Rattus norvegicus: one gene and its partners. The protein of the gene in region 1 interacts with the protein of each later gene in a pairwise test. Links are inferred from orthologs where the notes say so. Each region holds a gene or a part of one and is shown on either strand. Other genes may lie near its edges.

What was found. The genes of interacting proteins can lie anywhere in the genome.
Region 2: the proteins of Ube2k (region 1) and Dtx3 interact in binary tests that used the Homo sapiens proteins (3 or more experiments, as listed by UniProt). The link is inferred for Rattus norvegicus from reciprocal best matches to the Homo sapiens genes UBE2K and DTX3.
Region 3: the proteins of Ube2k (region 1) and Traip interact in binary tests that used the Homo sapiens proteins (3 or more experiments, as listed by UniProt). The link is inferred for Rattus norvegicus from reciprocal best matches to the Homo sapiens genes UBE2K and TRAIP.

What each region holds. Positions count from the first base shown.
Region 1 is NC_086032.1:43,069,365-43,073,722, reverse strand, and holds the start of Ube2k (ubiquitin-conjugating enzyme E2 K), read left to right. Parts: upstream 1-1,552; 5' UTR 1,553-1,720; coding exon 1,721-1,783; intron 1,784-4,358. UniProt on the Homo sapiens protein: Accepts ubiquitin from the E1 complex and catalyzes its covalent attachment to other proteins. In vitro, in the presence or in the absence of BRCA1-BARD1 E3 ubiquitin-protein ligase complex, catalyzes the synthesis of 'Lys-48'-linked polyubiquitin chains.
Region 2 is NC_086025.1:64,900,895-64,905,217, reverse strand, and holds the start of Dtx3 (probable E3 ubiquitin-protein ligase DTX3), read left to right. Parts: upstream 1-1,465; 5' UTR 1,466-1,486; intron 1,487-1,532; exon of another isoform or gene 1,533-1,746; intron 1,747-2,535; 5' UTR 2,536-2,754; intron 2,755-2,925; 5' UTR 2,926-2,970; coding exon of another isoform or gene 2,971-2,998; coding exon 2,999-2,999; intron 3,000-3,353; coding exon 3,354-4,102; intron 4,103-4,241; exon of another isoform or gene 4,242-4,323. UniProt on the Homo sapiens protein: Regulator of Notch signaling, a signaling pathway involved in cell-cell communications that regulates a broad spectrum of cell-fate determinations.
Region 3 is NC_086026.1:117,519,086-117,523,333, forward strand, and holds the start of Traip (E3 ubiquitin-protein ligase TRAIP), read left to right. Parts: upstream 1-1,390; 5' UTR 1,391-1,471; coding exon 1,472-1,569; intron 1,570-4,248. UniProt on the Homo sapiens protein: E3 ubiquitin ligase required to protect genome stability in response to replication stress.

The DNA of each region.
Region 1 (4,358 bases):
CTTGAGGTTGGACAGAGTGGGATAGAAAGTGTTTTAGGTTGTATTGGCATAGATACCTACAACATTTCTAGATTTATATCATAGCAAAAATCCTTTGTAGTGTTCAGTTGTTCAGTATATAGTTGACGGTCCTTATAACCACTAGAGGGCTCTGCTATAAGATCTTTTATAATTTATGTCTGTCTACTCAGGGAAAGGCTTTGAGATGTTTCAGAATTTTGAACTCTTAAGTTTAAACAACCTCCTCATTTCACAGACGAGGGAACCGCAGCTGGCAACGGATATAGGAGAGAAGTGGGAGCACTCTTAGACTGGTTTCTCTCGAACTCATGATCCTCCTGCTTCTGTCTCCCAATCTAGGATTACAAGCCTATACCACTACATTCAGCTCGTATTAGTCTTATGATGGAATACTGAACTGATTGATTAGGTGAATACATGAAACATACTCCTAAAATAATACCTTCATTATTTCACAATGTTATTTTCAAAAGTATTCCTCAGCATCTACATTCCGTTATTTGTTTTAAACTCTACTAACCACTTTCAAATAGCCTCTCAACGTTGTTGCTCAATTAAAACATTTTACTCGGTCATCTTTTCTCCACTCAATTATATTCACTCACTGCTTATTGACATCTACGAGCGCCAAAAACCTTTGTAGGTCTAAAGTTCTTTCGGCCTTCTATTTCTCCAACTGTCACTATAAATTATACAGACTTTCACATGCTTAATTCAGCCATTCTCACAGCGTGGTCGCTGAAAAACAGGCAGCAGGGAGTTTGCTCGCAATGCAAATTCTTAGCCCCATCCAGACTCTAGGGATAGGTCCTAGTAATCTAACCAGCTCTCCAGGGATTCCGAGGTGCGTTCAAGTTTGAAAAACATGTTAGTTCTACAGCTCAGCATTGACTATCTAAACAGGTCAAAGATTTAACTTCTGGCTTTTAAACTCATCACAGGCCTGTCCCCGGCAACACCTGTATCAATTACAACCCGTGGGACGCAACCATTACACAACCTTAAAAATCTGTAATACCTGAGATGACCGAATAATAGTTGCGTTATCATGGTTCCAGAACAAAAGCTACGGCAGTGGATATCCCGGGGGTTTACCAACGGACGCTGGGCAGGACCCAGTTCCTGCATAGTTTTTTCCTCCGCTAGACACAGGGAGGCACCTCTAGCCCGTGGGTTCTGGGTCTGGCCGAGTTAGAGCGAGGCTCAGCCCGGCTGGGGCCCCGGGAACCCGCCAGGCGGGGCTCCCACCTCGGGTCCGTGGCTAGGGACTGGAGGCCTCACCGTAAAGGGGGCCGAGGGGCAGGGGAGGACCCCGCAGGCCCAAACCCCGCGGACCGGCACAGAAACCGCACCCTCCTGGCCCCAGCCGCCGGCAGGGCGGAGCCACGCGGCCGAAGCCCCGGCTGAGACGCGCGGCGCGGGCTCGCTGCTGAGACGTATGGGGCTACCACTGGAGCGGCTGCGCCGCCCGCCCGGGTCAGCGTGGTGCGCATGCGCGGACCCGGCGCCATTTTGGTGGCCGGGCGCGGAGGTGATTCTACACTGAGGGGGAACGCGACGGCAAGGGTGGCAGTGGCAGCGTTCGTGTGCTCGGGTCTGAATCACTGAGGGAGGAGGCGGTGGAGGAAGAGGTGGCAGCGGTGGCGGTGGTCGTAGCGGTGGCGGAGGAGGCGGGTACGAATCAGCTGCGGGCAGAGACATGGCCAACATCGCGGTGCAGCGAATCAAGCGGGAGTTCAAGGAGGTGCTGAAGAGCGAGGAGGTCAGGAATGAGCTACCGGACACCCCCATCTCAGCCCAGGGCGGCAGGGCCCTTCCTTCCGCGACCCCGGCGGTCCCAGCCGGCCTCGCTGCGGCCGCCTTTCTGCCTATGGGGAAGCGGCGGTCTCCCCTCCTCCTCCCGCCGCCTTTCCCTCCCCTCCCCGGGCCCTGGGATAGGCGGTCTCGCGGGCGGCCGGCCGGCCTGGGGAGGAACAGGGTTTGGGGGGCAGATGCCGAAGCACTCGTCCCGGGCACGTGAGCTCTAGAGAGAGCCCCGAGGCGGCGGCAACAACATCTGGAAGTGTGACTGTACGGTGGGGAAGGAACAGGCCGAGAAAACCCGGGAAGTGGGTTGGGGGAAGGGGAAAGGTAGTAACTAGATCCCCGGCAGCAGCGCACCTCACAGGCCCACGCTTTCAGGGGTACTGGGGATATTGCCTGCCAGGCCTTTGCTGTCTTTTCCTTGGGGAAGGAGCCTTCACAGTCTTTAGGTATAGACGAGAAGACTTTCAGTTGCTCCCTTACGGTACAGTGCTGGGGGATCTATGGAGACATAATGGGCATTCTTGAATTGGGAAGGGGTGTTGAAACAATTTTCACTATAGATAAAAAAATAATTCCAAATTAGATAGTCATCTCTTTTCTACGTACCCAGCCAGTAAGTAACTAGGCCTCCTCACTGATATTTAAAGCTTTTTGTCTAGTCAAAGGCAAGTTGTTTGTTAATTAAATGATTTGAAATAGGAAGAATAATGGGAGTGTGTGAGTAGCTTATTTCAAAATACTGTTCACCCGTATCAGAGAGGCTCTCCTAGGGTAATGCCTCTGTGACTAGTGTTGTACTGTGAAACTTCATTATGATGTCCCTCATAGTTAACTTGAGTCTTACTTTTAAAAAGAGGCCTATTAAAACCAAGGGATTTCATCAGATACACATTGTTGTAGCTCATTATTGAGTTAGGTTTATTTTTCTGTCACAAAATATATCAGGAAATAGCATATTTAAAAAATAAAACTCTGACTGCCTGTAAGTCCTGCAAATTTTAAGCATATTAATGCTTACCAGATTTATTTATGTGAAATATTGAAAGTAATAATTTTACTCTGCTATAAAAGTGCTAAATCGACAAAAATGCCAGTTTTTCTATGATTGAACTTAACAATTCTGAAAGTAATTATTTTTTTCAAGGTTCACAGTTTTCCTATTATGCTTGCTTGGTACTCTGATAATGTCATTAATGATTTTTAAAATTCGTCATTTTAAGCATATGAGAAATTGTTAGAAATCTTGTAGCTCTCCAGCTTTATTGTGCCCCCAAGCTTGCAGACAATTATCCATCGTTCCAAGTAGACATGAAGAAAGTCACTTAAAATTGAAGTGACAATGTTAGCAGCGTTAGTGAGCATACTAAGAAATACGTAGGGATCTGTCTTACGTAGCATGAACTCTGACCTCTGTATTCATTTGCCAAAACTCTGAATGGAAGGATGACTTTGTATTTTTGTGAAACAATGCAGAAACAATATGAATGACAGTATTCACATTTTTAATGGTGATTTATTTAAACTTTTTCTTTAATAAGCAAACTTAGTTTGGGGTCGTTGTATATTCTTATGTTGTTAACAACCTACAACATGTATTCTATAATAAGGTTGTATGGGTCTTTAGACCTCTCATGCTTTCTTTTATCTAAAAGTGTCAAGTTACTGCCCTGAAAATTGATATACCCTCTTTGCTTTGTGTGGTCTGACTTTTCACCATGGCATTTGGTGTTTAAGTTGAAGATTATCGGCATTTGTATGACTCTAGTAGTACATATTATTACTATTCTACTATTTAACTGATGGGCTGAGTGGCCAGCTCCATTTACTGTTCTACTATTTAATTGATGGCTGAGGAGCCTGATGACCGAGTTCAGATTCAGACCCACATGCTAGAAGGTTTCTCTTTGACCTCTACACCCAAGTGTGCAAATCGGATAAAAGCTCCTCCTCTGGTTAAAAACATTGTCAATGGTTCTCAGGAAGGAAATAGGAAATATGAGTTCAAGAATGGTGCCTTAAAAACCTAGCAGGGAATTCAGTTCAAGGAAGTAAGTTGCAAAGAATATTTTGGAAAAGATCAGATAAAATTTAATATTGTAAAAAACCACAGCCAACAGTTAGCTTTATCCTCACCAGTATTTTATTTCATTTCCCTAGATAGGTTGTGTTGATTTCACCTGAGTGAAGAACCCATAGTGCAGTCTACATATTTCCCTTTTAAGTGCGTAAATATGAGCTTTTTTTTTTTTTTTTTCGGAGCTGGGGACCGAACCCAGGGCCTTGCGCTCGCTAGGCAAGCGCTCTACCGCTGAGCTAAATCCCCAACCCTAAATATGAGCTTTTGAGTAGTTGGTCAAGTCATTAATTCACCGTGTCATACAGGTTTAATTCATTTGGTAGTGTTTTGGTGGGTCTTACAACTTGATTTCCTTTTTGCCTGTTTTAAGTGCCTTTGTAAAGATAACTGACCTGTCAGAGCACACTTTGATCCCAGCACGGGAGAAGCAGAGGCAGGCAGATCTCTGAGTTCC
Region 2 (4,323 bases), on another chromosome or scaffold:
TGAGTATGTGTGTGTCGATGCAGGGGCATATTCTAAGATGGCTATGAACTTAGAGGTGTGGGGTGGACATGGGACCGGAAAACATTTCACCAACCTTGTGAGAATTGAACAGTAATGGCAGCCAGGGAAAAGTGGGATGGTGTCCCTCTTCCCTAGGCTCTGGTTCCTCCATCTGTTAACTTTAGCAACTAGTCAGTCTCTCTCTCTTCCCCCTCCCCTCCCCTCCCCTCCCCTCCCTCCCTCTCCCTCTCCCTCTCCCTCTCCCTCTCCCTCTCCCTCTCCCTCTCCCTCTCCCTCTCCCTCTCCCTCTCCCTCTCCCTGTCTCTCTCTCTCTCTCTCTCTCTCTCTCTCTCTCTCTCTCTCTCTCTCTCTCTCTCTCTCTCTCTCTCTCTCTCTCTCTCTCTCTCTCTCTCGGTACCAGCTATGTAGGAAGGAAGGAATTCTGTGTTCACCCAGGCTTCCTGGGAAAGCTTAGGGGGCAGGAAGAGTACAGCAGGGTCCTGGGAAAGTGAAGGAGTGACCAGTCCTCTTCAGGTCAGGGGGGAGGGGATGGACAGCGGTGGATGACGTGGTTGTTGCTAGTCTGGGAGGTTCAGTACTGTCTTGGCTGAGGAGGTCTTTCGGCTGGTGGAAAAACCTGGCTTGATGTGGCCCCAGGGAAGTGAGTTGGAGGAGGCGGAGACAGCTCTGTAGGGAAGCAGAGCGGAGCAGAGCTTTTTTTCTTCGGGAATTTTTAACTCTATTTGAGCCACGTACTTGACACTAACACCACCCCAAGCCATTTTTAAAGGATCTATCCACCTCGCATTCTGCACTGACCTATGTCCCTATTTGTGGAAAACTAGTCATCAGCCCCCATTTGGCAACAGGCTGCGCGGGGTGGGGGTGGGGGGGTCACCGGAGGTAACAGTCTGGAAGGAGGCAAGAGTTGAGGGAGGGGATTGAAGTAGTTTAGTCACAGGGTTTATTTTGTAGTATCAATGTTTTCCTTTTAACTAAAACTTCCCATCCAACATATTCCAGCGTAAGATTTCAAAAAATTGCCCCCCCCCCTTCCAAATCCATATACCCGCCTGCTCCCATCCCTGCCAGTTCCTAAAGGTGTCACACAGTTGGCTGGGAAAGAGGTGGGGAGAGGGCTCCTCCGGGAGGGGAAGCCAAGAGAGTGGCGTTTCTAAGGGATTTAACCTCCTACCCTCGGCTACATGACGCCACCCCTCCCACCAAAGACTGGAACTGCGCCTCCATTTTTGTTTTGGGGCAGAGGCAGGGGCTCCCGGGTAGGAGGGGGTCAAAGGAAACGGTGATTATCACCCACCAAGAGGAAGGGTGCTCTCCCCCTCCTTTCTCTCAGTCTGCACCCCGGCATCCCCTTCCACCTTCTCGGGGTCTCCCCCCCCCACCCCGCCCCTTGTTGCTAAGGCCCGGACCGTCATCCCAGCAACAGCCTCAGTCATGTGACCGGCAATGGCGGCGCTGACGAGAGGTAGGTGAGCCCGGCGCCCCCACACCCACCGCGTGCCCCCCAGGCCGGGTCCGCACCCTCACAAGCTCCCCCGCTTTCCTCCGCCCCCTCCTCCGCCATTGGCCCCCTGCGCGCGCGCGGCGGGAGAAGGGGGCGACCCCGGGGCCGGGCCTGTCATCTTTCCCGCACCTCCAGCCCTGGCCTCCATTTGGGGGTTCTGAGGGCCGCAGTCAGGTGGACACACACCCTCACCAAGCGGCGAGACTCCGGGGCTTCCTCGAGTAGGGATGCGGGAGTTGGTTTCGGGTCGGATGGATCCGGGGGCAGTCTGGGGGAGAAGGGTAGGGGTGCCTCAGTGGACACCCCCCAGGGGACCCTTGCTCTTTCTCGCCGTCCCTGACAGCTGCTGCTGTCTAGAGGAAGAGACTGGTCTCGTGTCCGGCCTGGTTTGCCCCAGAGGAATGCTAGACCCAGACTGAACTGTGGCCCCGCCTCCCTGTGCTGTGCCAGCAGGACTTGGAGCTAGGACACCTAGATCCTGGGTTCTCTCTGGTGGGAAGGGGGCATTTCACCGTGCACAGACCGTGCGGGTTGAGACTCTAGGTTTTCATCTCAAGGATCCTATGATAGAGGCACAGACGGACAGCGGCTTCTTTTTGGATCACAAGGAATTGGGGTCACATTAACAGCCCCTCTTCCTAATTGGGCTGTACTTTATGTTGTGGGAAAGGCCTGGAGCTGACTGACAGGGCTCAGGTCCCTGGAGCTGAGCTCCTGCCTGATTTGCTGCTGACAACAGCTCTGCAGGCACTGGGTTTAAAGGTGACAATGAGAACTTTGTTATTGCGGGACTGCTAACACTTTACTGGCATCCCTAACAGACTTCCGGCTCTCAAGGAAAGGTCCCTGTCAACAACAGGGACTTGAACTATTTGAGAACGTAAAGAAATGAGGCGAGGAACATAGGAGATATTTCTGTCAGTGTAATCTGAGGGAGGTGGCATGTACGACCTTCATCCTATGAGGCCGTTTTTTTTTTTTTTCTCCTTCCTGTCTTTATCTGCACCTAGGATCTCCCTCTGCACTGGGAGAAAAAGAGAAGTTAGCCTGATGAAGTTCCTTGAGCAACTTGGAGAGGATCCTGCAGGAGAGAGGAAATAGAGGAGCGTTTTCTTTCTGGGCTGGCTGAGGAAATGCTATCATAACTCTTTACCTTCCTCGTCCCCAGCTCTGGCCAGCTGAAGGTGGAGGTGGAGGGATCCGCTACCACCATACCGTGGTCTTTTCAGGTACCTGTGCCCCAAGAGAACCTCAGTTCTCATGTCCTCCTATGTTCCGAGAAATCCCCATTGCCCAGTACCCCTACCCCAGATTCCTGGCTGTTTCAAGGGCTCCTGAGTTGGGGCCTGTGGGGGTTGGGGAATAGGTTTCTTACTTTCTTTTCTTTCCCATCCCACCAGGCCACACGATCTCCAAGTAGCAAGGGGGAAAGAGAGTGAGCCTGCATGCCAATTCTAAGCTCTTCCGGATCAAAGTGAGCAAATGGGAGGGGGTGGGAGTGGGGGTGGGGGTGGGAAGTCTCCTTCCCTTTTTTTTTTCCACTCTGAGGGGAAGGGGTAGGTTGCTGTGCTCAGGAGAGAAATGAAAGAGGCAAGCAAGACTGGTACTTGGCTTAGATAATGATGAAATATGGAAACTTGTTCCCAAAGGGTGCTGGGACTATAAGAGAGAAGTGGGAGATAGAAAACCTTAGTTTGCAGGCGCTGTTAGGGGTTGGCTTTGAGGAAAACAGAGGTAATATGGGGTTTGGAGGGAGCCTGAAGTAGGAGGCACTTTTATCTGCCAAATGGGGACGCCCCACTCTGAGTCCCTTTCACCCTGGGGGCAGTGTCGTTCGTCCTGTCCAGAATGGCAGCCTGTGGAGGCTCCTGCAAGAACAAAGTGACAGTCTCCAAGCCTGTGTGGGACTTCCTGAGCAAGGAGACCCCAGCCCGGCTGGCCCGGCTTCGGGAGGAGCACCGAGTGTCCATCCTCATAGATGGCGAGACTTCTGACATCTATGTGCTCCAGCTGTCTCCACAGGGTCCTCCCCCGGCCCCCCCCAATGGGCTCTACCTGGCCAGGAAGGCTCTCAAGGGGCTACTGAAAGAGGCAGAAAAAGAGCTGAAGAAAGCTCAGAGGCAGGGGGAGCTCATGGGCTGCCTGGCTTTGGGGGGTGGAGGGGAGCACCCTGAGCTGCACCGCCCAGGCCCACCTCCTCTCCGAGCAGCCCCACTCCTGCCCCCAGGGGCAAGAGGGCTCCCCCCTCCTCCTCCTCCCCTGCCCCCTCCACTCCCTCCTCGTCTCAGAGAGGATGCTGAAGAGCAGGAAACCACCTGCCCCATTTGCCTGGGGGAGATACAGAATGCCAAGACGCTGGAGAAGTGCAGGCACTCCTTCTGTGAGGGCTGCATCACAAGGGCCCTGCAGGTGAAAAAGGCCTGCCCCATGTGCGGCCGATTCTACGGGCAGCTGGTGGGCAACCAGCCCCAGAATGGGAGGATGCTGGTTTCCAAGGACGCCACCCTCCTGTTGCCCAGCTATGAGAAGTACGGCACCATTGTCATCCAATATGTCTTCCCGCCTGGCGTCCAGGGGGTAAGAAATCTCAGTCCCTTCCTGTTGGCCTCCTCCAAATTAACTCACTCTGATAAAGAGAATATGTTGCTAGACATGGTGCACTCCTGCTGTCTCCCACCATGCCTTTTATGACTGGGTGTTCTGGAGCTTGGCAGCAGGGTCATCTCCTTGAGGCCCAACTATTTTATTTTTATTTTTTTATTTTTTTTTTATTTTTATTTTTTTGGAGTTGAGGACCA
Region 3 (4,248 bases), on another chromosome or scaffold:
ACCTGGCAAATAAACGTCACCCTGCAAAGCCTCTGGCCACCCTCTTGCCTTTGCTTCCTCTGTCCTATTGGGGAGGAGCCTATGGAAGGCAGTGTGGGAGGGAAGAGGCCATGGGAGCAGTTCCGGGTAGCGGCTGATGCTCAGTGCATTGCTTGGGGTAAGAGTGGAGGTCACCTTCTCCGATGTGTACCTGGATGATGTTAATGGTAAATCCTCTGGGCTCAAAAAAACCATGAGTGGTGTGTTTAAGCCAAGAAGTATCCCTAGCCGAGCACTGAAGGGCTGATGCTTTTCCAATTCTTGTTGACGAAGAGCCTTTGTCTTAACTTGGACATAGAGGTGGAATCCACTCAGGGACAACCACTATAGGAAGTGACCTTGTTCATGGGCACAGTGGGCCTCCTTGGGCTGGGGAGAAAGTGGGGTTGCACAAGTTTTGTGCTGTATGTTGATGCCTACTTCCTGTGAATACCTGTGCTTTCCACTTAGACCAAAAAGATTTCATTCTGTCTTCCCTGGCTGACGCAGACCTGCTTTATAATATGGAGTCATGTATGTTCCTTTTGGGGGAGTAATATTGCTAATGATACTATAAAAATCCCTAAGGAGATTCGCTTCAACTCGGAGGGGCTTTGGTAAACTCATCTGGGTTGCTTTCTCAGGGAGGACCTTAAATTATCTGATGTGGGAATAATAAAGAGGGTTTGCTATTTCCTGGTCTTTGAAGCATCTGTACCTCCAAAATCACCATCCCACAATCCCAGGCATGAGGAATCCTGGGAGGTTAGGGCTAAATTACTGGCCCTAGTGTCTACCCAATCTCAAAGATTATTAGGTTATATTTGAATGAAGCCAGGGCTAGTGTAGTGGTTTGAAGGGTTAGGACTTAACCTGTCCATCTTTACAAGGTCATCATAATAGAAGGCTGAGAAAGTGGGGGGCTTCTTTCTGTCGGGAACTGCGGGTTTCCAGTGTATGGCCTATTACTTTCCATAGCCATGGTACCATCATCCCTTTTTCTTGGCATGCCAGTCTATTTGACTGTCCCAAAGTGCAGCAAGAAAGGGTCTGGTTCGCTTCTCACCGGCTCTAGCTTGAGACAATGCCCCGCTTGGCAGGGATAGGGGTCAGACTGTAGCTTCACTGTTTTCTGCCACAGTCTATCACAGGTTTTTGGTTTTTTGTTTTGTTTTTGTTTTTTTCCGGTAGATGCACTTAGACTTCAAAGACCTACGTCCCAGGATTCCACACGGCTGGCGGGTTGTTTATCGCAGCCGTCCCAGCGCCCCGCCCCGAAGTTTGTCCAATCAGGGGGGAGCAGTCAGAAGTGGGTTTGTTATGACTTCCGGTTCACTGCCGGAAGTCGTGCGGTGGAGCGAAATTTGAAGGAGTGGGAACCGCGGCCGGTTCGGCCACCCAACTGTGTCTGTTGCTGGCTGCTGGCTCTCTGTGCTGCTTGAGCCGAGCCATCATGCCTATCCGCGCGCTGTGCACTATCTGCTCCGATTTCTTCGATCACTCCCGTGACGTGGCTGCCATCCACTGTGGCCACACTTTTCATCTGCAATGGTGAGTGACGGCGAGGTGTAGGGCCCCAGTGCGTGTCCTAGAACCATTTAGACGCTAACGCCATTGGTTGTCCATAGAGACAATCCATCCTTGGATCTAAGACAAGTGACGACGACATTAGAGGAGCCTCACGGAAGCTTTCCAACGTGGGCAGAAGTGGGCCAGGTGGAAGTAATACAGGTAGCCCAGGGAGGGATACAGTGAAAAGAGTTAGGTGCTAAGAAATGTGCCTTTAAAATTATTAGTCTGAGCGAAGATGAACTTTTACCGCACTAACGAAGCATTTTATTTGAGATTCAAAAAATTGACCAACAACTTGGTAGGTTTTTGGCAACCCTTGAGAGTCTGTGTCATTTGCTGGATGAATTGGGTTGTTTTCATCCAGAAACATCTCGTTGGTCAGACACTCCAGGAAACCTGACTTAATTTGGAATGGCAAGGAAGTGCCTTCCTGTCAACGGGTCCTGAAACTCAACTGTTTCATGAGTGACAAAAGACAGTCCCTTTGCAACTGGGCAGGCTGGTTCAAAGCTCCCAACAAAAGAGAAAATAAGGTAGAAAAGAAGTCCTTTGGGGAGACTGGGAGGTTTGGGAGGGGAAAAAGGGTCCAAGAGGCAGGAAGAGGTGTGAACACTACGGGTGTCTCTTATTTGAAAAGCTTTGTTTAAAACCAGTGTTACAGTCTGCAGTGTTGCATATCCCAGTACAGGCTGGAGAGGAGGGAAAGTGTGGAGACAGAGTGATCGGGAGTTTTAAGGTCAGTCTCAGCTACATAAGTAAGGGAGAAGTCAGCCTGGACTTTCTGAGACTTTGTGTCAAACAAACAAAACAAACAAACAAACAGAACCACATATTTTAAGTTATGTGTTCTATGTGTGTGTTTGTGTGGCTATGTGCATGGGAGTGTACGTAACCTCAGAGGCCAGAGTCGTCTGATCTCCATGGAACTGGAACTACAGACAGTTGTGAGTCACCCGATGTGGCTGCTGGGAACTGAACTCAGGAAGGACAGCTGGAAGAGCAGTACCAACGCCTACCCTCAACCAGTGAGCTATCCTCTCTCCAGCCTTTTAAACACAAGCAAACAAACAAGCCTGGCTGTGTATGGCTCAGGAGAACTGGTTCTGTTTCTTCAGCCTCCTAGAGCTCAGACTGCAGGTGTTCGCTCCATGTGTCCCCATCCCTCAGATCCATGCCCCAGGCATGGAAGGCAAGGGCTCTTCGGCCGGTTTATCCCCCCAGGCCTTGTATCTATTTTTGTTTGTTTGTTTTGTTTTTGAAATAGGGTCTTGCTGTGTAGTGTTGGCTTGTCTGAGATTCAAGGCAATCCTCCTGCCTCAGCCTCCTGAGTACTGGGATTGCAGGTGAGACCCACCACTCCTGGCTCCCACCTACCTATGTACTTTGTCTCGTGTATCCTAGGCTGGCCTTGAACTTGCTGCATAGCCAGGGATGACCCTGGGTTTCCCCCCCCCCCCCCCCCCGGAGCTGGGAACCGAACCCAGGGCCTTGCGTTTGCTAGGCAAGCGCTCTACCACTGAGCTAAATCCCCAACTCCGACCCTGGGTTTCTAATCATCCTGTCTCGATCTCTCAAGTGCGGGAAGTACGTACTACCATGCTTGATTTATATGATGCTAAGGATTGAATAATGCTGGGGCTTTGTGCACGCTTGGCACTGTTCATTGAGCTACATTCCAAGGCCTTCCTACCCCCACGTATATTTGAATAAACTTTTTTTTTTTTTTGAGACAGGGTCTTACTATGTAGCTGACCATGAACAAGGAGATCCACCTGAGCTTGGAAATTAAAACTGTATACCACCCCACCCAGCACTCTTTTAAACATCTTTTTTTTTTTTTTTTTTAAGATTATTTTATGTATATGCGTACACTGTCGCTGTCTTCAAACACACCAGATGAGGGCATTGGATCCCCATTCCAGATGGTTGTTAGCTACCATGTGGTTGCTGGGATTTGAACTCAGGACTTCTGGAAGAGCAGTCAGTGCCCTTAACCGCTGAGCCATCTCTCCAGCTCTGTTTTAACCATCCTCAGATGCTGATTCAGTGGCATTAAGTACATTAGCAATGTTATGTAACCTTCAGTGTCGTTATCCGAACGTGCCATCAGCTGGACAGAAGCACATACCCCATTGAATACTAACTCTCTGTGTAACTCCCCCCAGCCCCTGAGACCCTCTGCTGCCCCTTGTGTACCTGAGTTCCCCATACCTGGGATCCCATGTAGGTGGAGTCCTGTATCCTCTGCCCTTCCGAGAATTCCATGTAGCATACTAATTTTAACATTCACCCATCTCTTAGTGTGTATCAGAATTTCATTGCTGTTGTGGCCAATGTTTAATTGTATGTATGAAAATACCATATTTTGTTTATCCGCTCGTTTGTTGATAGACAGGTATTTCCAGATTTTGACGGCTGTGAATAATGCTTCTGTGAACCGCTGTACAGATACCTGTCTGAGTCCTTGTTTCCAGTTCTTAGAATGTATACCTGGGAGCGGAAAGACTGGGCCATATGGAGATTCTATATTTAGGTTTTTTTCGGAACTGGCATACTATTTTCCACAACAGCTGCCGACTTCTCTCTCTGCGTCTCTGTCTGTCTCCCTCTCTTTCTCTCTCTCTCTCTCTCTCTCTCTCTCTGTCTATGTGTCTCTCT